Linked DNA regions of Notamacropus eugenii. The protein of the gene in region 4 interacts with the protein of the main gene of each other region in a biochemical or structural test. Links are inferred from orthologs where the notes say so. Each region holds a gene or a part of one and is shown on either strand. Other genes may lie near its edges.

What was found.
Region 1: the proteins of PTPN6 (region 4) and PDGFRB form a complex in vitro, tested with the Homo sapiens proteins (2 studies listed by BioGRID and IntAct, with this or other methods). The link is inferred for Notamacropus eugenii from reciprocal best matches to the Homo sapiens genes PTPN6 and PDGFRB.
Region 2: of the proteins of PTPN6 (region 4) and SYK, one has a biochemical effect on the other in vitro, tested with the Homo sapiens proteins (2 studies listed by BioGRID). The link is inferred for Notamacropus eugenii from reciprocal best matches to the Homo sapiens genes PTPN6 and SYK.
Region 3: the proteins of PTPN6 (region 4) and PECAM1 form a complex in vitro, tested with the Homo sapiens proteins (2 studies listed by BioGRID, with this or other methods). The link is inferred for Notamacropus eugenii from reciprocal best matches to the Homo sapiens genes PTPN6 and PECAM1.

What each region holds. Positions count from the first base shown.
Region 1 is NC_092872.1:377,728,065-377,734,999, forward strand, and holds the start of PDGFRB (platelet-derived growth factor receptor beta), read right to left. Parts: upstream 3,002-6,935; 5' UTR 2,432-3,001; intron 701-2,431; exon of another isoform or gene 578-700; intron 1-577. UniProt on the Homo sapiens protein: Tyrosine-protein kinase that acts as a cell-surface receptor for homodimeric PDGFB and PDGFD and for heterodimers formed by PDGFA and PDGFB, and plays an essential role in the regulation of embryonic development, cell proliferation, survival, differentiation, chemotaxis and migration.
Region 2 is NC_092872.1:107,506,109-107,513,064, reverse strand, and holds the start of SYK (tyrosine-protein kinase SYK), read right to left. Parts: upstream 3,016-6,956; 5' UTR 2,877-3,015; intron 1-2,876. UniProt on the Homo sapiens protein: Non-receptor tyrosine kinase which mediates signal transduction downstream of a variety of transmembrane receptors including classical immunoreceptors like the B-cell receptor (BCR).
Region 3 is NC_092873.1:327,459,822-327,467,224, forward strand, and holds the start of PECAM1 (platelet endothelial cell adhesion molecule), read right to left. Parts: upstream 3,007-7,403; 5' UTR 2,762-3,006; coding exon 2,728-2,761; intron 2,640-2,727; coding exon 2,613-2,639; intron 1,741-2,612; exon of another isoform or gene 1,651-1,740; intron 1-1,650. UniProt on the Homo sapiens protein: Cell adhesion molecule which is required for leukocyte transendothelial migration (TEM) under most inflammatory conditions.
Region 4 is NC_092874.1:195,341,549-195,349,081, reverse strand, and holds the start of PTPN6 (tyrosine-protein phosphatase non-receptor type 6), read right to left. Parts: upstream 3,010-7,533; 5' UTR 2,987-3,009; coding exon 2,724-2,986; intron 2,566-2,723; coding exon 2,443-2,565; intron 2,195-2,442; coding exon 2,000-2,194; intron 1-1,999. UniProt on the Homo sapiens protein: Tyrosine phosphatase enzyme that plays important roles in controlling immune signaling pathways and fundamental physiological processes such as hematopoiesis.

The DNA.
Region 1 (6,935 bases), on a different chromosome or scaffold from region 4:
AGATAAGAAATTTGAACTTAGTAGGCAAGAGGAGGCCACAGAAAGAACCTAAAAATACAACAGGTGGTGGTGTTGTTCAGTCCTGTCCAACTCTTTGTGATCCAATTTGGGGTTCTCTTGGTAAAGATAATGGAACAGTTTGCCATTTCCTTCTCTAGCTCATTTTACAGATGAGGAAACTGAGGCAAACAGGATAAAGTGACTTGCCCAGGGTCACATGGTTCATAAGTGTCTGAGGCCAGATTTGAACTTAGAAAGAGAAATCTTTCCTGATTTTCACCCTGGTGCTCTAGCCACTGTGCCACTGAGGGTCAGTAGTGAGGAAGTACTATCATATCACCAAGCATCTACATCACATGACACTTTTTTCAAAAAGTTGACGGTGCGGGAGAGGAGAGATGTTAGAAAGTAACTAGAGGGAGTAAAATGGTCACTGGAACACTCTTTTGTTTAAGGTATGGGGAGATCAACACGGAGGCCCATTGGAAAGAGCTCCTGGAGAAGGAGACTGGAGAGGCATGAGAAAAGGGATGATAAGAAGCAAGAGAGAAGAATCAGGAGGGGATGATGTACTCACAAGAGTCCAGCTAGAAGGCCAGCCTTAGCTCAGGCTGAGGCAGGTTGCTGCTGCTGCTGCATTTTAAGGGACAAAGGAAGGTCCTGGGGGGTTCACTTCAGATGGTTTCTATCTCAGTGAAGTAGCAGTTTAGGTCATCTGCTGATAAGTGTGGAGTTGAGGCTGCCATGGGGGACGTTAGGAAAAAGTGAAAGATCTGGAACAGTTACTGTGGGGACGAGCTATTTGATCAGTTCTTAGCTTCCCTAACTGTGCTACTATCTAGCCTACTCTATCTAATCACTCTAAACACATTCCACAAGAGAATGAGAGACCATAGTAAATGTCTCGCTGAAATCCAGGTCTGCTATGTATAGGGTATGGCCTTGTCAAAGCAAATGAGGTTAGTCTGGCATGACTTATTCTTTATGAACCCATGCTGGCTCATAGTAATCACTGCTTTCTTTTCCAAGTACTCACAAAACATCACTTTAATAATGCATTCTGTCAGAAGAGGATGAGGACCTAGGCTGGATAGTGACTGTGGGAGTGAAGAAGAGATAAATTAGAGAAATATTTCTAAAGACTGGACAGGATGAAGCAATGCCCTGGTTTGCACAAACTTATACACCAATTATCCTACAGCTACCTAGAAAAACTATCATTGACTGAGGGGCTGGATCTGTCAGGGTCCTCCTATCACCCTTGACCCCTCTTAGCTTAGGCCCTTCCCTTAGAAAAAGGCAGAGAGGTCTGAGAGATCAATGCTTTCCTTAGGAGGTCTCCTATTGTTCCCTCCCCCTCTGTATCCCCACCCCCCACACTCTGGAGCCCTAGCTCCATTCATAGGCTGCCCAAGCTCAGTTCCTGTCCCCTCCTCTCCTCCCCGCTTACCCCTCCACCCCTAACAGCATAAGGAGAGCTACAACAAACTGACAGTTTCCCATCAGCTGGGGGTTTGGAAGGACATCTTAGGAATCTGGAAAATTTGCAAAGCCCTTTAAATCCCCGGGGCTTCGATGGCCCTAGGGACTGGCCTGAAGCCAAATCCTTTCTGGGAAAACGGCTGCAGACTCATGGCTGAGGCTGAAGGTCTCCCCTCTCCAACCCTGGTCCCCAATCTTCTGTTTGCTGATCCTGATGCCTCATTCCCTATTTTATAGCGCCATCTCACACTCATTCCCTCATTCCCTAGTCCCTTGTCCTAACCGCCAACCCCCCCCATCTGTTCCCCACCTTCCCCCACAACTTTTGTCCTCTATCTCCAGTCTGATCCACTTAAGTACGAACCACTCCACCCCCTTCAGCGCCACTTTTCTCTGAGTCCCCTCCCTTCATGGTTTGTCTCTCCTCATAATCCTTCCTCCCCTCACAACCCCTTGCCCTCAATATCTCCCCACCCTTAGTAGCCTTCATCCTTAAAGTCCCCCTCCCACTCTGCCCATTCTCTGGCCCCTCAAGCCACCCCTACCCCCCCAGGCCCCGCCCCCTAGCTCTGGCAAACAGACCCTCCGCTGTTAAGATACTGAGCCAGGAGAATGGAGCCCAGAAAACCCAGTGGTTTTGTGTGAATGAGGGCTGGAATGGAGGGGGGCGGGGTGCTAGCTCTTGGGGCACAGGGTAGAAAAGGGAGAAAAGAGGGGCCCGTCTGGTGGGCATGATTGCGGAAGGTCCAACTGAGCATGGGGATGGCAAAGGATATTCAACTCTTTTGCAAACTGACATCTCCCAACTCTGCTCTGAGCTTCTCCCATCTGGTTTCGCTAAAAATATTTTCCATTTTCAACTTGACCAAAGTGTGGCTGAGACATGACAAAGGGGCCCTGAAAGTGGGGTGAGGTGGGGGCAGAGAGTGTTGGGGGCCCAGGCACCTACCTTATTGCCTTGGTCTTCTCTTGACTTTGCCTTGTTTGCTGCCTGCTCACAAACAGCCTACTTTTGCGGAGTCCCCAGATGCTGCCCCTTCCTCGTCTGTCTCCAAACTCACCTCCCTTGGCCCCCGTGGATGGAGCTCCAGGAGGCAGGAGTGACTGGAGAACAGGGGGAGCAGTTGGTCCAAGGACCAGCAGCAGGAGGGACAGAGACAGTTCTAGAGCATCCTTATGGGAATCTCCAGACTCAGGAGGGCCTTTCTAGTTTGGTCTTTCTGTATGTTTGCCCCTCTGAGGGATTGAGATCAAGGACAGTTAGAAGGCAAAGGAAGAGGTAAGCCCTCCTGGTCCACTCTCTGCTTACAAAGTTTTCTCTTGGTTTCCCCTTGTCTCTTGGCCTGCTGGGCGAGGAAGATGGATAGCGGCTAGGTTCAGGGTACCCAGGCCTCAGGCAGAGGTGGAAGCAGTAAGAGGCTGAGACAACTCTGAGTGAGAGAGAAAGCTCTGTCTCCTACAACTTGGGGGGAAAGGCCGAAGAGGTCCCTTTGATTGGTCTCTTTGAGTGAGAGAGGGTGTGTGAGAGGGAGGGAGGGAGGGAGGGAGGCAGGCAGGCAGGCAGGGAGCGTGAGAGGGAGGGAGAGAGAGGAGTGTGTGTGTGCGTGTGTCTGTTTTCAATTTGGTCTTTTTCCCCTGAGTTTCTTGTTTTTCTTTCTGTTTTCCCTTCACTCTCTGCCTTCTCCCTCTTTCTCAGGATATGAGGGGATGTTTAGAAATTCCACAGCCCACGCCAGCAGCTGAGTCATTTGTATTAAGAGAGGCCAGCCCATTCTGCCCAGGGTGGTGACTCCCCTCCCCTCTCCTCTCCCCAGACTGGGCAATAGGGTCTGGGGGCTCTGCTGCTGACGGTAAGGTAGGGTCATAGATTGGCAATCTGTCGATCACCTGGCAATCGTGGCAGGGATTGTGCTAGGTAGAGGGATCTCAGGCAGTGCCCGCCTGTGTACCTCTGGGAGAGGGTCCCCAGGAAAGAAGGGAAAACAGGAGATCATGCTTTACAGTGTTGTGGGGTAACCTGTTACTCCCCAATCTTTGGGTCTCATTCTCTCCATCTGCAAAATGAATGGATTGAGCTAAGATGGTTTGGAAGGGTCCTGTCGGCTCGGCCATTCTAAGTTCCATCCAGTTCTCACATTCTCTGCTCTACGTTCCCTTCTAGTTCTGAAATTCTAGGTCCTATATTCTATGATTGTATTCAAGGACAGAGTGTACATGGCAGGAATGGCAGAGAGGGCAAGGCCTTCCTGCCTCCTTTGAAACTGGGGACTCGGGGTATCTCCAGGGAGGGGAGGGGATGGCTGAGGGAAGCAGAGCTGTAGCCTGGCTTCTGGTCATGATCAACCACAGGTTGGTCCAGCACATCTGGAGTCACTTAGCCCCAGCAGTCATTAACCCTTTGCGGCCTCCACTGCTGGTGTGCCCATTGCTTGGACAGTACAACCTGATCTTACTCCCCAACCCCATGAATCTCTAAGCATAAGACTAGTCCTCTGTATGCAGGCACTAGTTGGTCAGACGGTGAGGTGGGAAGTAGTGAGGAAACAGTGAACTATGGCATAGGATTCAGGTCCTTCAGACCTAGGAATTTTGGATGAAAGGAAGAGTTTAGAATTTGAGCCAATTTTGTGGGATGCAAAGTAGGTGACATATCCCGTCAGTCTCAGAGATGTCCGAGAAATCCTCAGAGATGGAGAAGATTCCAAACAAGTGAGAGAGGGGAGCAGACACCTTAATAGCTGGAAGAGAAAGGATGTGATTGTTTTGGTCATAGAAAAGGAAAGAGACAGTGTGGTAAAATGGAAAGAACATTACTAGATATTTAGTCCTGGCCCTGCTCTTAACCTTACTATGTGACCATAGGCGAAGGCTAGCAGCCACCAAGTAGTGCAATGCTTAGAACATTTCCTGGCTTGCAGACAGGAAGACCTGAGTATGAGTCCATATTTAGTAGCTGTGTGACCCAGGTCAAGTCACTTAACCTATCCCTCGCTCAGTTTCTTCATTTACAAAACACATTATTAACAACATTTTCTCCATAGGTTTGTTGTGAGAATCAAATGAGATTATACATTAGATAAATGCTAGCTATTATAAATCATTTCCCTTCTTTGGGTCCCTATTTCCTCATCTCTAAAATGAGGCATTTGAAAATAATGTTATTTCTAAGGCTCCTTCCAGCTCTATCATATGATATGAATGACTACTGATTAGGGATGTTTTTGAAAGGATTTATATTTCAGATGTGTTCTCACTTAAGGGACCTCTGAGATACCTTCAAGTTTTGAGATGATGTGATTTTGTGTCCCAGACAACAGTTTTGGCCACTAAAGCCAGACTTCCAAAAAGTCTAGCACCCCCCTCTGCTGGCTACCTCGATAACTCTCAGGGAGGGAGGGTCCCATGAGATAGTGCTCACTGCCACAAAGACCCCTCCCTATTCCTCTTTCAGTATGGGTTCCACATAGAGACCTTTACAGTCAATGAAGCTCTAGAGGAATGTCCTGCTGCAATGCTCTAAATGCCCAAATAAGATCCAACAGATGAAGCTCTCTTCCTGGTATCAGACTGGGATGTCAGAGATGCTTCCATTCCAGCCATGGGCCAGACATCAACAGGGATTGGCTTCCATGGGAGAAATTTGTGGGAAAAGAAGCAAGAGTAAGACGACTTGGAAGGCATTTTGAAGGGCTATGGGATTGTGAAGAAAGTTTGACTTTACAAGGTGGAAATTTAGAAAGACTTGAAGAGAGGTTGAAGGAAGAGAAGGACTCAGGCAAAGGGAAGAGATGATAGAGTTGAGCTGAAGGTGGAGAAAGTCAAGAAGTCAAAGACAAGCTGAAGAACAAGGAGGAGGAGGAAGAAGGTAATTGGTAGGGCAAGGTTAGTGTTACAACTTGGTTCAGACCAGGAGGGAAGGGGAGAAAGTTTAATGTAGGTGTCAAGGTGCTAACAAGGTTCTAATGAGGTGAGGAGAGAGAGAAGTTTAGAGTTAAAGACCCTCAGAAGACTTTGCTACTGAAGCTCTCTGAAGGAGTTACCAGCAAAAAGACAAATACTGGGGATCGTCACTTCCAGTCAATATGGTGAACAGGGGAACATTTGTAGTGACTTGCATTGAGAGCCATGTCTATATTTCTGTCTCAACCAAATGATTGCTATCTCTGTCCAAGGTCTAGGCTACTTTCACTTCTGGAATACAGGGTAAAAAGGCATAAAGAGTGCCGCTCCACTCTATGGGTCCTCAAAGATAGTACTATCCCTTAAAAAAAATAACAGAAATTGAAATTAAACACACAAAGCAATGTCAAAAGTAAAGGAAATGCAGAACCTAAAGAAACTGGGATGGTAGGAAGTTGGAGCGTAGAAGAAGATCACACAGAAGAGAGAGGGAAGATCCACCAAATATTTGGAATAAATGGATTAGGAAAACATTTCTAAAAAGTGGATAAGACAAAATGAAGCCTGGTTTGCACAAGCTTAAGACTTCTTTAAGACTTACTGGTGCAGCTAGGTGGTTCAGTGTCTAGAGTACCAGGCAAAGAGTAAGGAAACTCTGGGTTCAAAACCAGATTTAGTCATTTACTAGCTGTGTGACCCTGGGGAAGTCACTTAACCATTGTCCACCTCAGTTTCTGCATCTGTGCAATGAAATAATAATAACACCTATCTCCCAGGGTTGTCATAAAAATAAAACAAAATATTTGTAGAAGTCCTTTGCAAATCTTAAAGTGTTCTACGAATACTAGCTAGCTAAATCCTATGAATTTTTTGAGGAAGAGGGAGAGGTCTACCTGAAGAGGAAGCAGCTGCTAGTCCTCCAGGGAATGACAACATGGGAGTGTGTGTATAAAAGCTATCAAATGAAAGATCATCCAGTAAGGGTCAGTGGAAGATGGGACAAAAAGTGGCTGGTGATTCCCTTCATCAGAGTCACCTGTCAACCTAATAACAATAATAGAGAGATCTCCTGTCTTCCTAACACATATATCCAAGACTTGACAGGGACTCTCCCAAAGTTTGCCATTCCACATGCTTACTACCCACTCCTAATAATTCACAAGATTAGAAATTATATCACCATAAGGTACCTAGAAATTATTCCTCAAGATTACAAAATCATGGACAACACTGAAGACCTAAGAGGCACAGGTGAGTTCTTCCTTCCTTCCTCCCTCCCTCCCTCCTTCCCTTCCTTCTTTCCTTCTTCCCTCCATCCCTCCTTTCCTTTTTTCTTCCCTCCCTCCCTCTCTCTCTTTCTTTCTTTCCTTCTCTCTTCATTGCTGCTCACAGAAGGCAAGAACTTTAGCGTTTGGCAGACTGGGGTAGTGAACAACTGGTTAAGAAGGTGGTATTCAAGAATGAGAACTGAATTTCTGTCCAGCCATATAAAATATGAAAATGATTGAGCACCTAACATAGGTTAATAACACCATATTTGTATGCAGTCTAGC
Region 2 (6,956 bases), on a different chromosome or scaffold from region 4:
TTTCAGAAAAACCTGGAAAGACTCACATGAACTGATGCGTAATGAAGTGAACAGAACCAGGATGCACACATTAACAGCAATGTTGTTCAGTGAAGAACGATTGTCAGCAATACAATGATCCAACACAATCCCAAAGGACTTTAGAAGTATACCATCTGCCTGTAGACACTGAACTGATATTGACTCAATAGACTGGAGCATGCTATTTTTCACTTTCTTCTTGTACAAAATGAATAACATGGAAACCTTTTGCATAACTGCACCTGTATAACCTATGTCTGACCGCTTATCACCTGAGAGGAGAGGGAAGAGAGAAAGAATTTGAAACTCAAAACTTTAAATACAAACGTTTTTTTAATAGTGTGTTATAGTGGGACTGATACAGCTCCTGAATCTATCTTGGTAGATACAATCTCAAATATTTTATGTTTTTCTGTAATTATAGTGAATGGAATTCCTCTTTCTAGGTATTCCCCGTGGTTTTGTTGCTAACAGGAAAGAATGATGATGGTTTACATAAATTGATTTCATATCCTTCAAATTTGCTTAATTAATTGTTTTGAGCTTGACTCTTTGGATATTTTTAAAGTAAGTAATCATATTATCTGCAGAAAATAATATCCTTTTCTCTTTATATATGCTTTTTCCCTTAATTTTTCTTTCTCGTTTCGTTGTATAACTAACATTAGGAGGATAATATACAATAATAGTTATGATAATAGGCATCTTTGCTCTGCCTCAATTCTCTTAGCCCTCTAACTTTTCTTTTTTACATCCAGTGTTTGCTCTTTAAATAGATATTATTTACTACATTAAGGAAAAGTTCATTCATTCCTATGCTTTCCAGTGGTTTTAATAGAACCAGGTTCAAGATTTTGTCAAAATCCTTTTCAGTACCTATTTATATAATCATCATCACAATAACTAACATTTATTCAGGGTTTATTATGTGCGAGGCACTGTGCTAAGTGCCTTATAATTATCATCTCATTTAATGCTCACAACATTGCAAAATAAGTATTATTTTTATCTCCATATTACAGATAAGAAAACTGAAGTGGGCAGGGGTTGAGTGATTTGCCCAGGGTCATAGAACTAGCAAGTGCCAGTGGCTGGATTTAAACTCAGGTCTTCTTGACTCCAGATCTGGTCTTCTATCTAGCTGTTTTTGTATTATTAACATGCTATATTTATAGACTTCCTTGTGCTGAGAAAATGTGCATTCCTTGTATAAATCCAATCTAGTCATTGTGAATAATTTTTCTAATATGTAATTGTTGTGTACTTGCTAATATTTTATCTAAAATGTTTCTGTCAATGTTCATTAGATATAGTGTCCTAGAATTTAATCACATTTATATCATAGAAAACAACTCTATGTATGACATTTTCTTATTGCAAATGATAATATGTGTGTAATATTATTCTTTTAAATATTTCATAAAAGTTAATTATAAATTCATTTGGCTCCAAAATTATTGACTATGGAAGTTCATCCACAGTTTCTTCAAGCTCTTTTTCTAATTTTAAATTAACTATATAGACTATTTCTTTGTTTTTAATGTTTATTTTATCATTAGTTTTTCCGATTAAAAGCAGTTGCTATTTTTATCAGTTTGAGTTTCCTTTTTATTAATCTTTCCTTTAGTTTTCAGAGTTTCTAAATTGTTGCTTAGTTGAAGGCTTTGTTCTTTTGATTAGTATGTTCAATTCATTGATTTTTTCTTTTTATTGAAAAAAACATTTAGAGATATAAACTGTCCCCCAAGACCTACTTTAGCTGCATCCCATAAATTTAGGCACATTATCTAATTAAAGAAGGAGTGTTAAAAGACAATATCCTATATTAGTTAACAAAATATTCCTAGTCAGTCCACAATTGGCATTTTTCTTGATATGGTTAAGATAAATGTAAAAATTATAATTAATCATTCATAACCAAAAGAGGAAAAGAGCTTTGCACAGTAGTTCAGAACTTCTACTTTCTTGGATTCTGCCCAAAGCCATTCCCTCTTGTTCTTCAACTTTGGGACTTCAACCATAATGGTTCCCCACCATGTAATTTTAAGGTTAAATGGGGTTTGGGGATCACCCTGTGACAGTGTTTGAGTAGGATCCTTCTCCTACTGTTGAGGTTCTCATCAATCCCTTCCACACTGAGCCCATGATGAGTTTCTCTCCAGTTGCTTTTAAGTAGCCCCTCCTCCCTTCTTTTTTCTTCTTCTTCTTCATCTTTTTCTTCTCCTTCTCCTCCTCCTTCTTCTTTTTCTTCTTCTTCTTCTTCTCCTCCTTCTTTCTCTCTATCTCTGTCTCTGTGCCTCTCTCTTTTTCTCTCTCTCTCTCCCCATCCCTTCCTGTATGGTTCTTTACATACTCATTTCTCCCATTTTCTTTTTGGTATAGAGGAACTGGCAAAAGATATATGTCCACACCACCAGTTGAACAATATTTCATGAGTCATCTTGTATGGAAAAGGAAACTGTTAGATATACAGAGTCAGAATAATGTAACATTCTTACTTAAACTGACAACTAGTTATTCTGTGCAACAAGACTATGAACAAATTAATAATGAATTTGCTGGTCATTTTTCCCTCTTGTGACTCAACACATATGTAAGGTATGATTTATAAACTGGGTTTGTGCATGACAAGAAAAATATTTTTAAACTCCTTGGGGTGGGGGTGGGGTTTGCCTTTAAACACATTTTTTTTTTTTTAGCATTTTGAACATCCTAAATGACAATTATCTATGCTATTAAGATACATGGTTGTGGATGATTCAAAGCCACTTTCCATGAATAATTTCAGTGACCAAGGGAAATTAAATGAGATATCACAATAACAAAATCCAACAAGAACATAACTTTATCCTGACCTTGTCTGGCAAACCACTCCAAACACTTTTGTTTGTCCTTGTCTAGCCAACCAATTGTTAAGTCTGTAGAAGCTCTCTGATCTGTCTGTTCCTTTACACTCATGCTGCTCTCATCTCTTCTCATCTGGACTAGTCTTCTAACTGGTCTTACTGCCACTATTCTATCCTTTCTTTAAACTATGTGTATCAAAGTTACTCTGGTAACCATCATGGCTCCTCCACTATGATGTCACTCTTCTCCTCACAATGGGTAAGAAGCTCCCCACTGACTATGAGAGGAAAAATAAGTTCTCAAGAGGCATTCAAGGCTCTCCAAAATTGGGTTGTAACCTACCTATTCAGCCTTAACTCTTTCCGCTCTTCGTATAGCTTTTATTCCAGCTAAGTTGAACTACTCTCTGTCATGTATTCTTATCCCCCTCATCTCTCATCTTCTTGTACTTTTGCTCCCACTGTCTCCATTGCCAAGATTGGACTCTCTCATCTCCAATCTTCTTTCTAGATTCAGCAGAAATGCACCTTCACCCTTCCTCTTTTATCTTCTCAAGAAGAGGTAGACATTCATTCCATATATGGAAGACAGAGAGTGAATGCAAGGTATGGAAATGCATGGTGGATTACTGGATGTCAGAAGCAGTGGTTCCATTTGACTACTTAACACTGATTAGTTTGTACAGAAGGATATTTACTTTGAAGACATACAAATGCACAAACATTCTCAAACATACACAAGTACTAACTACTGAAGATCATACTCCTCTTTTCAGCATGTTGGTCTCTGGGGAGAGGAGACTCAGATTTAGCACACTCTCTATCTAGCATTAGCATTCAACTCACCAAGTTCATGTTCAAATGAGACATCATTACCTTAAGTCTGATGGTGCAGTGGATTTAGTGCCAGGCCTGGAGTCAGGAAGACTCATCTTCCTGAATTCAAATCTGGCCTCAGACACTTAACTGTGTGACCCCTAGGCAAGTCCCTTGTCCCAGTTTGCCTCAGTTTCCTCATTTGTAAAGTGAGCTAGAGAAGGAAACTGCAAGTCACTCCAGTATCTTAGCCAAGAAAACACCAAATGGGTCACAAAAAATCAGACACAACTGAAACATGTGTGCAATAACAACAATGTCTGGGCTGGTTCCTGAAGGTTTCTCTGTGATCACTCAGGCAGAAAAGCAGGGCTAGCTGCCAATCCTGGCATAGACTCAACTTCTAGAATCCCAGAATTCCAGATGACCTTTCAAAACTCATGAAGTTGCAGCCTCCAAGTTCCTTTTCCTAAAGTGAAGAAACAAATGCTCTCACAAAGAAGGCCCATATTGAAAGGGCCATCTATCAGTTTCAGGTGGGAAAAAACAAAACAAGAAGCCAAGCCAAGAGAAAAAGCTGAGGATATCTAATCCCTTTTGAAGGCATCCCAAACCAGTTCTTTGACTGTAGCCAGTCAAATAGTCTTCTATTTACCAGGTGGTTAGAAGACAGCAGTCAATTACAAAATGTCCACGTGTGCTCTAACCCTCTCCAAGGTGCTTCCATAGCGCATCATCATGATTCTTCCAGAAACAGTCTACCTAAACTCTTCCAAATGGGAAATTGAATTAGAGGCACTCTAGGACTGCTTGTAGCTACTGAGATTATTTACCATTCTATTTGTCTCCTCTATTCACATATCTACACAGATTAAAGTTTTTGTGCTCCTGTGATTTTTCAACGATTTTTATCAATTTAGCCATGAATTTCTCTTTGCAGCATGTGAATTAGAAACTTTTTTTCCTCTTTTGGTTGCAAATGATTAATTCTATTATAATTCTTATATCCACCTTAATTATATCAAGAAATAAATGCCAATTGTTGACTGACTGTGAATATTTTGTTCACTAAGATAGGATATTGTAATAAGAATTAATGATTAAATATGAGGTAGGTTGGTCTCTATTGTTATACTCAGTGTATGAGTTGAGAAAATGAATAAGTATAATAAATAAGGATATCTACTTGCATATTTTAACATATTTATTTACTATGCTGCAAAATGAAATAAGAAACCATTATCTAAATAAATAGCATTTCACAAGTCCTTTGACAATACCACAGATCTAAGCTAGAAAAATATACTATTAGGCTAATGGGCAGAGTGCTATGTCAGAAATTCAACCAAAGTTATTTCTAAACAGGATGCTTATCATAAACTCAGTCCTGATCAGAAGTCTAACTGTTCTTCAATCAAAAGAGCAGTTACCACTATTAGACACCAGATAGCAAAGCAAAGAAGATAAAAACATATTCACTCTTCCCCAACTACAATTTGCAAGTTAGAGCCCTAGAGAAGAGATGCAAAACTCACATAGCAGAAATTTCTTTTCAAGAAACAAGTGGCAGTCTTCCTAAACATCAGGAGTTAATTTAGGTCATTTCACTGAAAGGTACAAAGGACCAGTGTAATTACATCTATTAGCCCATCCCTTTTCTACGCAGACACTCATTTCTCTTAAACAGTTCCTGGTCATGTTGTCCTGCACTGGGTCCTACAAATCACATTCGTCCTCTCAATGAAATGCAAGATCTTGCTGCTGTCCCCAGTCTCCATGTTTAGCAGCCGGGTACTTTGAGTTTTCCCCCACTACTGACCATGATGAACACTATTGACTATATCAAGAAATCAAACTCAACGTCCAGAATTAATTTGAATAGGGTTAAACACAATCAAATCAACAATCTTTAAATATACCTCGTTGAGGACTCCATTTCTGTAGGCCTTTCTGTTGTAAGCAATATAAAGTGTAAATAAATATATTCTAAAAAACTTATATGTGGATTAAATAGGAAAAACCAAGTAGAATTTAATCTTCTGTTAGAGAATTAGATAAAGAGCTGGCCTCAGAGTCAACATGACCTGAATTCAAATTCAGCTCTGATTAATACTGACTGTGTGATCCTGCCAAGTTACTGCCTTCTCAGTGATTCCAAACAACTCCCTAAAGCTAAAGTTGCAAATCAGGTGCAACTCTACAGTAGTGGGAATAAAAAGTTCCAGTCCAAAACAAATTTTCAGTCATCCAGGAAATATATTATTCTTTGAGGATTTATTCCAAAATGATAAACTACTAAAGTATTTAAAATATGAGGAAATAGTTCAAATATGGAATTAATCTATAAAACGAAAGGATTATACTAAATGATCTCTAAGATTCCATTAATTATAATTTATACATCTGATATTCAAATACAAAATTTTTCTTCCATTATTTTATTGTTATAGCTCAAGTACTTGGCAAAAAATAGGCAGATGGAGGCTGAGGGGTAATGTTTTTATTTTTGTTTCATCTATTATACTTTTTCACCTACTGCATTTTAGCTAAAAGCAGACAATTCAATCGTCTTATAAAGAAATAAATTTTTGTCTAACTGAATTGCTAATTAGCAGGAGAAAATAATTAATAAGAAATTAATACCAGAAATATAACATGACCCAATATAGTTCATTTTCTCAGTCTTGCTAGAAATTCAATTGATAATCAAAATGATCTGAAAAGCAATCCTAAACTAGATGCCCATTATCTTCTTTTTTCAGCTGATGAAGTCAAGTACAGAAAACACAATGAGTCATCATTCTTTCTGCCCACACAACTGTCACCATAGAAACTACTGTAGCAACTTGAACATTTTATCAGACATTATAATTGTTCTGTCCACTTTAAGCAGATCAGAAATCTGCTTAAAGAAAAAAATCCTAGCTGCAGTCTTTCTGGAAACATTTCAAATATATTATAATCATATCTGACATTTAGCTATATGTGTATTATCTTATTATTGATTGTTGTACTTAATGTATATGAATTAACATAATAAGGATGTAGATAAAAATGCCTGCCTACATATTTAGACATATTTAATTATTATCCTATGAAAAGGAGTTGCCCTGGTAGGTATCATTTCCAAAAAGGAGTATGCTTTGTGTATATATAATCCAAACAAGAAAGATTATTTGCTTAAGATTTTAATATTGCTAAAAAGCAAAGGAGAAACAATAACATTTTTTTTACTTTTTTTCAAGAGCAGCGTTTCACTTAAAATCAGTGTTA
Region 3 (7,403 bases), on a different chromosome or scaffold from region 4:
ACAGATCGTGTGTGGCCCCTACTTTATCAGTCATCTCACTGACTCATATAAGTCACTGAGATGAAATGAGTGGGGTCCAGTCAAGTGGCTCTCTTCCTCTCCTCATTACCGGGGGAAAGAGGAATTCTCTCCCATTTCCAACTAAGAACAAATGTCTTGCTGATTGTGGACTGCAATCATTATAGAATATCAACTCTGGAAGAAGCTTTAGAGATCACCCAGTCACCTCATTTTACCAAGGAGGAAACTGAGGTCTAGAGAAAAGTAGTTAGCCTAAATGTACATTACTATAGTTATCACTTACTCACTTCAGTCATGTCTGACTTTGTAACTCTTTTTTGGGGGGAGGGAGGGTTCCTGGCAGAGAGACTGGAGTAGTTTGCCAGTTTCTTTTCCAAGTCATTTTACAGATAAGGAAATTGAGGGCAAAGAGGGTTAAATGACTTGCCCAGGGTCATACAGCAAGTGTCTGGGGCCAGATTTGAACTCAGGTCTTCCTGTCTCCAGGCCTGGCTCTCTATCCACTGCACCACCTAGTTGCTCTAAATGTACATTGCTACTTCAATGAAAAACAGACACAGAACCAAGAGCCTGGGAATTTTTGCCAAACTTACCAAGATCATGCAAAATGAAAGAATTTCAATTTTCCAAAAGACTTTCTGCCCTCATCGATTAACAAGCATTTATTGAGCATCTGCTGTGTGTCAGATATTGTGCTAAGGACTGAGGAAGCAAGGATAAGATTGAAACAATCCCTGCCTCTGAGGAGCTTCTATTTTGAAGGAAAGAGGAGAGAGATGGGTGTGTATAAACATATATAAAACACAGATTCAAGGTAACCTTGGTGGGAAAAGCAGCTGGGAGGACAAGGAAAGGCCTTGTGCAGACCAGACTTGAAGGAAACCAGAGATTCTAAGATGAAGAAAGAGAGCTTCTAGACCTGGGGGACAGGTCCCTGAGAAGTGATTAGGTTAGCTCCCATTAGGTTAGTTCCCATTTCATGGATAAAGAAAGTGGATTGTAAAACAGAAGATCTGTGTTGTAATCCCCATGCCACCACTAATTCACTACATAACCTTGAAAAACACACTTCTGTTCTCTGGGGCTTAGTATCCTCATCTGGCAAATAGAGATAATAATGCTTACTTGACTTGCTTTGCAACGTTATCATAAAAATCAAATTTTGGTGAAAGTACTTTGGAAAGTACTAAATGCTCACCCTGAAGAAACATATATATGTATATATGTATATATACGTATATGTATACATATACACATATAATATATATAAAATATATTATATATACATGCGCACACACACACACACACACCTTATTCTCTCTAATCACAAGATTCTGAATTGTTTGGTGTTAGGATCAAACATAAATCCAATCAATTATCTGTGAGGAAGAAAAAATCGCAGCAATGACTACTCACTTAAATTCTGCTGGTATCTAGAAAAAACAACCCTTTGTTGTTTTATATATACATACAGAGAGAGAAAGACAGAACTAGAACTAGAAAAGATGTAAAAGGTCATGAAACTCAATCCCTTCATTTTACAGATGAGGAAACTGAGGCACAGAGAAATGAACTGATTCGCCTACAGTCACATAACTGATAATTGTCTAAGATAGGATTTGAACTCACCAATTTGAACTCACCAGTTCTTCCCAACTCTAACTCCACTGCTATCTCTACTATTCCACACTGCCTCCTCGGAAGACTCTCAAATAATCTGAACTTAAAGGCCAATTTAACAGCCACACATTTCTACCCATTTTTCCAGAGTTTCAGTTTTACTTCCTCCCCGTTCAGCAACTGAACTCTACCCTATATAAAGTTCTTCCTTGTTCCCAGACCTACTTAAATATGCCAAACTCTTTCAAAAGGTTAAAAACAAATCCCTTATTCCACATATATTTTATATCCCAAACCAAATTTCCAAATATATAATTTTCACTTTGTCAATAAATCTTCAAAGATACACACACACACACACACACATATTTATTCTCTCTTATCACAAGATTCTGAATTGTTTGGTGTTGGGATCAAACATAAACCCAAATCAATATTCTGTGAAGAAGGAAAAATCACAGCCAAGACTAATCACTTAAACTCTGCTGGGGTCTAAAAAAATAAAACAACCCTTTGTGTGCTGAATGGGAATGAGATTGGCCATAGAAAGAGAAAAAAAGATTATGAAGTGGCTCACTTTTTCCAAAAATCAAACAGCTGCCCACTTGGAACTTTCATGACATTTCAAACATTATTGTTAAATGCAAGTGTTTTGGACTAAGCAAAAACTTTTTTTACATATGTGCTAATAGGATCATATTTTTATATGTCTTTATTATCTTCCAAAAGAGGAGCTTCTAGTCTTTTATCTTTTCATTAAAAATGTAATCAAACCAGTTTAATTGTAATTTATAAAGTCCCAAAGTAGACAACATAATGTAGAAGAAAGAAAGTTGTCTGACCTCCTTCCCTCATCTGTAAGATGAGAGGGTTAGATCTCCAAACTCTCTTTGGTTCTAAATCTGTAATCCTAGACAAGATCCTAGGCAAGACAGAAAGGGGGGAAAGAGGTAGAAAAATCTACAACTTACAGTTCTCTTGACCTTTCAGTCTTGGACCTAAAAAATAAAAAAAGATCAAGTGTCATTATCTCAGAAGCTTCAAGTCCTATAAAATTTAAGGTATAAAATGAAAATAAAAACTTACAGAACCAAAGCATCCCCAGAAGAACCAGATACATCTTGTCTTGGAGTAATAGTTGCTCAGTCTAGAACCCAGGAATGCTCATTCGCTGAAGGTTAAGTCCGACCAAGGGGCTGGTAGGAAAGGTTGTCTTCAAAAGGGGTAATAGATAAGCAAGCCTTAGTGTGAAAAGTTAAGATTCACTCTTGGAAGGATTTTCCTCTTTGTGAATAGCGAATGGCCAGTGGCACTCACTGGTCAGGTAATAGCTGCCATTACTGGAAACTGAAAACAATGAGCTTCTGGCCGGGTTTGATAGCTACTCAGGAAATGACTGGCCTTTTCCTGAGAGGCTGCTGAACTAATTTTCTTTGTTTAGTTTCTTAAAGTATATTTGAAAACAAGCAGCAGAAATGACATTTGTCTTGGCACACCTGTCAATCTTCCTTCTGGCTCCCCCAGAATGGGGAAGAGTGGGAACTCCCTCATCTTTTAATGAAGGGACCCTCCAATTTCTACCTTCCACCTAGGGAGACTTCTCCCTTGACTCAAGAAAGATATTCAAGACGAAAGATATTTCTTCCCTTTAACTATTCTCATTTTAAAATAGTCGTGAATCTAGATTTTACTGCTAAGCCCATGGTAGGGGGAAAAAAAAAAGCTTTGCTTTGCCAGAATCATGAGAGTTTGCTAATTAATCATAATATCATATTTGTGTAGCTCCACGTGGTTAAAAAGTACTTTACAATCCTGAAAGATTCACTGTTATCACCATTTTACAGAGGATGCGACTGAGGCTAAGGAAGGTGCCCAGGAGTGCCAGGGATAGAACTCAAATTCAAAGCCTTATGACTTTAACTCATTTGTTTCCGAATGGTGTTATAGACAAATTGGTTTTCCCTCCCATTCTATATTCCAGCTCCCCATTCAACCAAAAGAAACAAAAAAGGATTTGTCTTCAATTTTCTAAAGATTAAAGTCCCAGAAGAATTCAAGAAATGCTGGTTTTACGAGGTAATTTTCAGGACCAAGGCATTTGGTAGTAAACAGACATGCTGTGGAACCAAAGTAAATTTCTAAAACATATGTCATTCCTTTACATTCTCAAAGAGAAAAAAAAAACCTTTAGAATTCTATTGGAATATAATCTCTTATTTCAAAAGTAAACTTTGAAGTTTGAAAATAAAAACAGAAAAGATGCTTCCTGGTACAGTGAGGACTGTTTTAAAGTGTTACGGAACTTATCAGCACACAGTAAGGGTAACTTATTCTGATGTCCACAGTCAAGGGAACATAAACACTGCAAAATCTAAGTCTCCCGGTCCATTTCCCTTTTTCTACAGCTTTCTGTGTTTGCCTTTCTCAGCTTATTCAGCTTGATGTTCCTACATCCATTGGTTTTTGTGTATATCTTATTATCTCAGTTTGTCCATGTATGCATGCATGGTGTCTTTTTGTTAGTTTTTTACTGTGTTTCTGTGTCTGTCTGCTTGTCACTCTCCCTGCAATTTGATTGAAGTGCAGAATATGTACAGAAAGGGTGGGATATGTTTTTGTGCTACATAGTGGTTTGTTTGAGCTTTTTTTTTGTGGGAGGTGGGGTGTACAAATGTAATATATACATAGTACCATCTTGGTGTTGTGTCAAGGAGATCAGGACAGTGGAGATTGGCTGCCTGTTGATTCTGGCAGAAATCACACTAGTGTTTCCTTCCTCAATCACCCAGGGATTTGCCCTAACTTAGGGACTAACCGAAGGAGTCTGATGTGACTCATAGATTTATTCTCCCAGACAACAGGATGGTGGGCCACTGGAGAATGCATTAACACAGAAGTGGGTGTGTGCATGTGCATGTGCGTGTGTATGTGCGTGTGCATGTGCGTGTGTGTGTGTTGGGATATTGAGGGGGGGGGGTTCAGTAACTGAGCTGAAGATTGTGTCCTGGGAAAGAGGAAGATGTTTAACTGTAAGATTTGGTGCCAGACTCTAGAATCAGAGCTGGGCACCAGGCATACTGGGAAAGATGCCACCAAAACCCACTCCCCAGACTATAGACCCATAGGAAAGTGATTTTTCTATTTTTCTCCTTTCTTCTCTTCCCCTCTGTCTCTCTTCAGAGCCTTATTTTCTGAAACTTACCTTCGGTTCTTAAGAGTTTGTTTACCTTTCTGTAACACAGACTATGTTGGTCCTCACTGCCTGAAAGTCAGGTATGTTACATTTCACTCTGCCCTTTGGGTTCTCCAGTATCATTAAAGTGATTTGGGGGGTCTAGGTTCTTGTAGCATCAATGCGATACCCACAGCAGCTGCTATGGGTATGTATGTGTATTTCCAGGGTAAATTCTCAAAATATAAACTCTCTTCCTCAAAGATGAAAAAATATTTATTCCAACACCAGAAAGCCAATTCCACCATGGTAACAACAAAGTTTGTACACATTACCAATGAAGGGAATACAGGTATCCCCAAGCCTTCCCTCTCTTAGGCCACCCCACAAACAAGTTCCCCTAGGCAAAATTCCACTCTTTCTCACTCATGCTAGCTGCTCTGCTTCAGCTCTGCCTCACTCTCTCTCAGCTCCACTCATTTGGCAAGCTCCTCCCACAATTGACTCTATGTGACTCAAGCTGTGGGCTGGGCCAAAGCTCAAAGCAGGTCACATGAGCCTACTAACGGGCAGGGAAGATCTTCAAATTCCCTTAACTTTACAGTTCTCTGCCATTGGCTCCAGCCCCCAGTAATTGTCTTCCTCCCCCAAGTATAGAGGACTATGCTCCTGTACCCCATTTCTATCAGTCACAAACAGTCAGACTGGAAATTAGAAATATTTACTTCAAAAAATGTAAGCACAAGCACACTCCCAATAAGTGGAGACAGGACGCCCTCTCTGTCTCTGGAGAGGGAAAGAGGATTAGGTTCATAGTTTAGCCTGGTTCCCATAGTACACAGTTCCGGTTCCAAGTTCAAAACCCCCTCATGGGCTCTAGTTGAAGGCATCCTGATTTCTCAGGACTTTCATGCCATTCTGACTGGTTGCACCACCCCACCTGCAATCCTAGCTCCCAGGCTGAACCATGGCTCAAACTCCCAGACCCATTGACATCACTTCTAGCACCTGTAACTGAAGATGGCAAACAGCACAGGACAGTAACAAACACCCCCTAGACCTATTTCTCAGAAGTGAGAGTAAAAGCGAGGGAGGAAGGGAAGTACATTTCTTCCCCTTTCACTGGTTCACTTCATGGCATCCAAGCTGGGCACGTCAGAAAACTTGGTGGAGAAGAGAGTAGTCAAAAAGAACAAGTTTTAATCTTGCCAGTTTTAAAGACGTAGGCAGCCAATCAAAGTAGACTCTCCCCATCCATGTGGTAGGGGTCATAGCTGACTCCATATTAGGTAAATCTGGCATGCTCAAAAAAGCATGTTCAAGACGGGTGTCTCCGTGTTAGAACTAGGCATGTCCATCGAAGCGCAGGTTGCATTTCTGTTTGTGTTGTCTTTTCAATATAATAATATAAAGATCATAAATACAAAGAGGGTGGGATTCCTAGGACCAGCCCTAATATGCATGTTAAGGATAGGGGAAGGTGTGATGACATACATGCAGACATCAATGAAGAAGATGAAAAGAAAAAGTTGAAAATCAGAGAAAGAGAGACAGAGATAGAGATAGAGCAACACAGAAGTAATCGTTTGTATAGATAAAACATGTGTGGCTATGCACAAACATATTGGAAAGGGGCCGTAAGGGAGCACTTGGGATGGCAATTTACAGCTGTGGTGTACTGCCAGAGCATTTCCCTGACTGGAGACTCAGAGCTGAAGATTAATTGTTTATAACTTTTCAAGGTAGAGGAAATTCTTTTATGGGTGCTCTGTGTGTGTGTGTGTGTGTGTGTGTGTGTGTGTGTGTGTGTGTGCATGTGTGTCTGTCTCTCTGTCTCTTTCCTTCTATCTCTCTGTCTCTTTCTCTGTCTCTTTGTAGTATTAGCAGTCTTGGGGGCAGGGTGAAGACAGGATACTGGTTCTGTATCTAGCCTGACTGATATAGAAGTCATGGGCATTCATTCATTAATTTGTTCCTTCCTTTCTCTTTCTTTCTTTCTCACTTCCTTTCTTTCAAATTCTTTTTTATTTGTTTATTTTTGCCCCAGGACTTGTTTTGATAGGAAACTCCCTCCCAGACAGATGGGCCCAAGAGAGTAGGTAAGAAAGTCAAGTCCGTGGGGATGAGTAGCTCTACCCCGGGGAGGGGGAGTACTGTAAGGGACTTGTCACAATAGTGTAGATAAGTAGAAATGAGATACTGAACTAGAGTGGTGACTAAAGAGGAGACAGGAGGAAATATTGCAGAAGACAAGTCATCAGGATTTGGCAAATGATTGGATGTAGAGAGACAATAGTAAAGCATTATTCTGAAGAATGACAAACATAAGGAATTCAGAAAAATATAGGAAGACTTGAAGTAATTAAGAGAGAGATAAGCAGAGCCAAGGGAACAATAGATATGATGACTATAATAACACAAATTTAAGAAAAAAACTAAGAGGAAACTGAACCATGCACAATTACAATGACCAGTCTTGGTACCACATAAAAGATGATGAGACACCCTTCCTTTTAGTAAAGAGGTGAGGTACTTTGGGCATGCGATGTCAAAACTGATCAGTGTAGTCACTGCATTTGTTGCTGAGGTT
Region 4 (7,533 bases):
GAAAGCAGAACTGGAACCTTTCCCCAACATCCCCCCAACTCTCCCCCCTCCCAACCTGTTCCCTAGAGGAAACAGTTAACCCCAGGGCTGCCCAGCCCCACAGGAAAACACGTGATGGAAAAAGCAAAAAAGCTCCCTTTGGGGAGAGAGTGAGAAGTGAGGTTTCTTCAGCCTGGGGGTTGAGGGGGGGTAGAGATTTTCCAACCGCAGGGATGATGAGGTAGGAGGGGGAGGGTAGGACAGACAGTAAGAAAAAGAACTTAATTTTTTCAATGCTTGTGCAGAGAAGGCCAAGGCTTCAGTGACCACTGACCTAAGGACCCAAAGGTTTTCTTTCCAGTCTCCAGCACCTAACCCTACTATTAAGCCAAGAGAACTCTACTCCAGAAGTAGGCCTGGTCCTCCAGACTGAAAAGGAAGGGGCTCTAAAGTCTGGTCCCCAACCTCCAACAACCAGAGGAGGAAAGTCCATGCAAATACTGACTTGCCCACAGGCTAGTAATCAAGTACAGAGGGAACAGATGCAAATTCCCCAGGGAAACTACTTCGAAGAGAAAGGAAAGGGAAAGGGAAGGATAACAAGGAAGGTTTGTTGGGGTGAATTTCTTTTTCTACACAGAGAGTACAGAGTACTCCTCGGGACAATTCAGACATACCCGTTGGGGAAATGGGGAGGGCGTGACCAACCACTCACAATCATCTCTTAGAAGGTCTCCCTTGGTTTGGTCTTTATTAAAAACCAGTGCCTTCACTATCCCCCAATCCATGGCTCTACTGGTTTTTTTTAATTCCCTTTCTTGCATCCTTTGACCCCAGTCAATCTGCCACTATCATTCCCATGACTGACTCAAACTCTTCTCTCTATAGTCCCTCCATATCACCCACTGCTTCTGGCCTTCATGACTCCCTCAGCCCCTGTGTCCTGAGTAGATCTTAGATTGGGATGGGAAGAAGGACTGAAGGAACATGGTAGGTGAAGCAGCAGAGAGGGGACACCATGGAATTACCAAGGAAGGAGGAGAAAGTTGAGGTTGGGTACTAAGTCTGAAACTTCCTAAAAAGTAGTGAGAATAGCTATATGCATTCTCTAGGACTGTTCTTAACCCTATCATGGTCAATATTTTAAATCAGTGACTTGGAATAGTGGCTTAGCTTATCAACTTAGCTAGTTGATAAAAATATATGATAATATATAATATCATAAGAACTGACATGAACAGTTAGTATGAACAGGATTCAATATGCACTGACCAACTAGGTGCACAAGAACAGGACAGGCCAACATGGTTTAGCAGAAGTTAATGTGAAAAGAACTGAAAAGATATTTCAGTTGATTGCACACTTAGTGTCAGAATCATGAAATCTTAGTTTTGGAAAGGATATGAGAGGTTTTCTAGTCCAACCAATAACTAAACACAAATGCTTTCTACAATATACCCAACAAATGGTCATCTGGTCTTCCTCAAAGACTTCCAGTGACCAAAACACTGTTTTTGAAAATCTAATGCAAAATTAACAGAAGTACAGTGTTCAGACTGAGGGAGGAGGTAGTTCCTCTGGTCAGGCCACATCTGGCACTCAGCTCTAGGAGCCACATTTCATAAGGGGCAATGATAAAAATGGTCTGCAAACCATGTCGGATGACTAAAGACTAATGTAACTGGGGATATTTAGGCCAGAGAACAGAAGGCTAAAGGAGAAGATGCTGTCATGTGGGAAAAAAAATAAATGTATTTCATGTAGATTCAGATCACAGAAAGAACAGTAATAGATGGAAACTACAAGGTGGATTTTGGCCCAAAAGAAAAAGAACTTTCTAGAAAGAACCAGAGCTGTCCATCAATGGAATGCCTTCATCTGTTGTAGAAGGGATTCTTGCATTCCTGATGTTACTATTACGCTCACCTCTCCTTAGGTTGAAGACCCTTATTAAGAGTCCAGGGTCAAGGCTAACCTCCCCTCTGAGTGGGGTTAAGGAGTTGGGGGAGGGTTGCCTCACCTCTCGCTGGTGGGGTCAGAGCAGTTGAGTGGGTATTTGAGGTGGATAATGGTGCCATCACGGTCCTGTAGGACGCCTTGCTGTTGAGTGTAATATTCCACCAGTTCTGTCAATGTAGCAAACTTCTCTCCTCCATAGAGATCATAGAAATCCCCTGAATTCTGGATGCGGATGTGGGTCACTTGGTCTCCTACCCTGTGGGACACAAACTAGGAATAGTGAAAATGGGAGCAGAAAAGGAAAGGGGAAAAGAAGGCACAAGGCTAGAACAAAACCAGAGGGTTCAGGCAGGGAGCAGGGAGCAGTGTGGAGGTCTGAGGCTTTGATTCATGGGAGCGCTAAGGGTCATCACACAGGACTGGGGAGGTAGTCTGGAGGAGACAAAGCCAAGGAATGAAGGGCACAGGCAGAGTCACCAGAGAAAAAGGAAGAAAGTCACCAACCTGACTGAGAGGGAAAAGTCCCCTTGGTTCTTTCGACTGGGCCGGGCCAAGAAACTCCCATGGACCCCACGGCCCTTCAGCAGAGTCTCAGCATCCAGCCCGCTGAGATCTCGGTGAAACCACCTGTGGAAGAGAAGCTGCAGCTGGGGACTAGGGCCACCAGAGGCCAGGACAGGTGCTGTCCAGAGCCCAAGACTCAGTCTCCCTTTTCTAGATACAAGAGAGCACCTGCTCCCCTGAACCAGCTCCTCCCCCCAGCATCCTGCACCCTCGGTCCTTACCTCACCATCCTGGGAAGTCTTCCTGCAGGGTAGGCTGACGAGTGAGGAGGGAGGACAGTATAAACAGGGCCCAGGACAGAGCCCAGTCCCTCCTTGCACTGGCCCCTAGCTCCCAGAAGCACCACCAGTCCAGGGCAGCTGAGGGGGGGAGGCGGGGACAGGAAGGGGCGAGGCCAGACCCCCCAGGGGGAACTTGCTTCTACTTCTGCTTTTGTAGACAAGCTGAGAAAGCAGAGCCTTATGGTGGTGGTGCTGGGACCCATCTCACAGGAGCGTATAATTTCTTAACACACGAAGCATGTCGTGCGCATATATACACATGTGTGTGACAGCAACAGAAACATAAAGACAGACTTATGCGCATACCTGGTCACAAAGATCACACACACACACACACACACACACACACACACACACACACACACACACACACAAAACCTCCCACGCAGGAGCATGCTCATATGTAGAGAAGATGAATTCATCTATGACTTCTAACACTTTTCTCCTCCCCTCCTGACAAATTCTCCTCCATCTTAATTGCTTCTATGGGGTGAACCCGGTCCCAGCCCAAGCTTGGAAAAAGAAAGAGAGTCCACTGGATAAAAGGTCATGCCAGAAGGTAACCTAGGCTCCAACTCCCTAGGGAACAGAGAAGCAGGGGCGTGATAGAGCAGGGGAGAGAAGAGGATATCCCGGGGCAGGGCCTGAGAATAGTGTTTGACAAGGAGAAAAGCACCAAAGAATGGAAGGAGAAAAAGTGGAGAGGATGACCCCTGGTAGTCTTTGGGGTAGAGCGCTGGTGTGCTCCTCACCTATAGGCCAGGCTAGAAGACTCCAAGAGAAGGGAAGCTTTGGAACAGAGGGCCAGGTAAGTCACAGAACCCTAGAACCCTGCCTTCCCTGTCTCCAGTTTCTGGGCCACCTGCCTCCAGTCTGCCAGGGGGTGGGGGGGCCTAATTGTTTCTCCAGCCTTCTAGCTTGGCATCCTCTCCCTAAAGGGCTCTCTGTGCTGCCAGAGAGAAGATGGTTGGAAGCCCAAGAACCTCTACAGGAGAAGAACAAAGTTTGGGGGCTCCCAAAGGTTAACAGTCATTTTAATTACTTATTTTAATTTCTGCCAGTCATTCTTCCCAAAGCAACCCAGTGAAATAGAGCTCTAGCTTTGGAACCAAGAAATCTGGGTTCAAATTCTAGCTTTTACCGCCAACTTCTTTCTTTCCTTCCTTCCTTCCTTCCTTCCCTACCTTAGGCAAGGCTACTTACTGTTACTTACTGGGACTTGCCTCTCTGGGACTCACTCTCCTTACCTACAAGATGAAGGAGCTGGATGAGTGATATGATATATAATCCTCACATCCAGACTAGGTTCTCCCTCCTCACCCTGGCCCCCTGTCCTGGAACTCTTAGGACTATGGGAAGGATATGGCCAATCACCAAATGGTTAGGAAAACATAATTCCCACCACTATCAAGGGGACTCCAGTCTGGGAGAGAAATTGACCCAGAGCATCTCAGGTTACAGGGAGACAGGCAGGCCAAGGAGATTGGGACAGGACACCAAAGGCTCTCCATTGCTTAAGGACAGAAAGGGAAGGAAAGGGAAGGGAAGTGTTGACTTTGAAGGACTAGGTTCTTCCTGGTGAGAAAAGAGGCAGGCTGGGAGCACACACAGAAATTCACATACAATACTCAGATATCTACACCAATATCCCCATCCCCATTGCCAAACATTTGTGGAGCACCTGCTACTATATATAGACCTGAACTACCTCCTGATGCTAACAACTTCCCAGTCAATAAGCATGTGTTAAGTGCTTATTGTGTAGTGCTAAGGCCCAGATACAAAGAAAGGCAAAATGACTGTCTTCATGGAGTTCACATTCTGGACAACATGGAAACCCAGCATGTACATTCAAGGCAGATGTCAGGTAACCTCAGAGGGAAAGAGGCCAATAGCTGAGGAGCCTGCAAAGGCCTTTGGTAAAAGGTGGGACATAAAAAAAAAAAAAGTGGGATATAAGCAGAGACCTAAAGTAAGCCAGGGAATAAAAGGTAGAAGTAAAGTAGGAGAGCTTTCTAGGCAGGTTGACAATAGGGGCAAAGACAAACCAAAAAAAGAGAGTTCAAGAAAAAACAAAGAGTTCACAGAGTTAGTAAAAAGCGTTAAGAAGGTAGAAAGGCAACCAGTTATAAAGAATTCTAAAGGCTGAAAGGGAGGATTTTATTTATACTTGATCCTGGAGGTAATAGGGAGCCACTGGAGTTTATTGACTGAGGGTGGGAGGTGGGGATGATATGATAAGATGTGAACTTTAGGGAAATCACTTTGGGAGGATGGTTTGGAGTGGGACTTGAAGCAGGAAGACCTATTAGAATTCCATTGTAAAGAGTCCAGGCAAATTCTGGAAAGCAATCTGGAACTCTGCCCAAAAGTTACTAACTGTACGCACCTTTTGACCCAGAGCTAATACTATAAGACTTATGTCCAAATGAGCAGGACCAAGAGAACATTACATACAGCAACAGCAGTATTGTTTTAAGAATGACTGAGCAAATCAGTCATTCTATCATTATAAATACTCATATTAACTATAAAGGATGAAGGAAGACATAGTCCACATCCAGAGAAAGAACTGAACGTTGTTTGTACTTCATTCTCGAAGGGGACCATGACATCAAGGAGGTGATGCTATGACTTGAAAGTGAATTAGATTTAAGGGAGGGAGGACTGTTCAAAGTCACCAGCCTCACTTTCTCCTCTGGAACCATCTGGGTCCAAAGGCCAGATATAGATAAGGACAACAGGAGATGGCCCCCAGAAGTATGCATAGAATAATTATATACACACCACACACCACACACACACACACACACACACACACACACACACACACACACATACACACACACACAGAGTGATCATCTCTGGGGGAAGGAGGGAAGAAAAAAGAGGAAAAAAAGAAATTTAGATGATAACTTTGTTGTATATTTAAAAGGTACAGCAAGTTATATATAGTAATTTGCAGTTTCATGCGTAATCATTTTTTTATTATACTATACCATGGAAATATTGGTTTTATTCCATAAATTAAAAATGAAATAAATCTTAAAAAAGAAATCAAAGAGATGTAAAAGTAAAATTATCTATAAAATTTTAAAAATTGCAATTGATTATAGCCTAAAAAAAAAAGGACCCATACGCACAAAAATATTTTTAGCAGTTCTTTTTGTAATAGCAAAGAGCTGAAAATTAAAAGGAACTCATCGATTGGGGAATAGCTTAAACATATTACAGTATATGAATGTAAGAATACTATTTTGCCATGAAAAATAATGAAAGGGATAGACCTGTATGAACCTGGAAAGACATATGAATTGATGCAGAACAAAGTGAGGAAGAATCAGGAGAAAAATATTTATAAAAACAAGACTTTCAAGACAACTTGGAAGGATTTAAGAACACCAACCAACTCAATCACTATCCATGATTCCAGAGAACCAAACATGCTTCTCATCTCCCAACAGAGAGGTGATGGACTCAAAATGAAGAATGAAGCATTTTTTTTTTTTACATGACCAACAAAGGAATTTGTTTTGCTTAACTATGCATATTCATAACAAGGGTTTTCTTTTTCTTTCCCTTTCAATAAAAATAAATGCTTATTAATTGAAAAAAAATACCAACAGTCGAGGCAAGAAGTGATGAGTGCCAAAACTAGGGAGATAACTGTGAGAATGAGGAGAAAGGAATGTAGATAAGAAGTCTTGTAAAGGTAGAAATGACACAATTTGACATATTGGATATTTGGATGATAGGAAGAAGTTGAGAATGACATCAAGGTGTCAAACCTGAGTGATAGAATGGTGATACCTTTCACAGAAATAAGAAAGTTGGGAAAAGGGAAAAACAATTAAGTTGTGTTTCAGACATCTTCTATTTGGGTTGTTAGTTGGAGACGCAGGACTGAAGCACTGTCCAAAAGGCAGTTAGTGAGTGATTCAAGACTGGAGCTCAAGAAAGAGATTAGGGCTAGATAAATAAATCTGGTAATCATCTCTATGGAGATGATAAGTGATGAGAACACAAAGTGAATGGGCCCAGGAAAGAAGATTGGGGAAATACTTTTTATTTATAAAATAAATAAAGGATATTTGTAAAGATCCAACAAAGGAGACTGAGGATTGGTCAGAAAGGTGGGGAGGAGATCCAGGAAAGGGGAGTGTATAAAAAACTAGAGAGAATTGAGAATCCAGGAGGGTGTTTGGCAGTATTAAAGAGGGTAGAGTGGTCAAGAAGGATGAGGATTGAGAAAAGGCCATTAGATTGGGCAGTTAAGCAATCTTTGGTAATGTTGGAGAGAGTAGTTTCACTGAATGATGAGATCTAAAGTGAGATATGCAGAGAGTTTAGAAATGAGTGGAGAAGTGGAGGCTTTGGTTAAGAAGGGGAGGAGAGATATGGGACTATTGCTACCAGGGATGGTCATATCAAGTGAAGATTTTTTTTTTAAGGATAAGGGAGACATGTCCATATTTGAAGACAGTGGTGAATGGCCAGTAAATAGAAAGGGGAACTGTGACGATTAGAAAGATACTGGGGATGATTGTGGGAACAATCTGCTAGAGAAGACCAGAGGGGATGGTGTCAAGGACACATGTAGAGGGTCATCCTTGACGAGAAGGGCTGTCTCTTCATGCTAGTGGTGAAAGAGGAGATAGTGGGGGGAGATGCCTTAGTGATCAGAGATGACGAGGGGATTAGTGAATGGTCTCAATTTTTTTTTTTTGGTGAAATATGAGGTAATATGAAA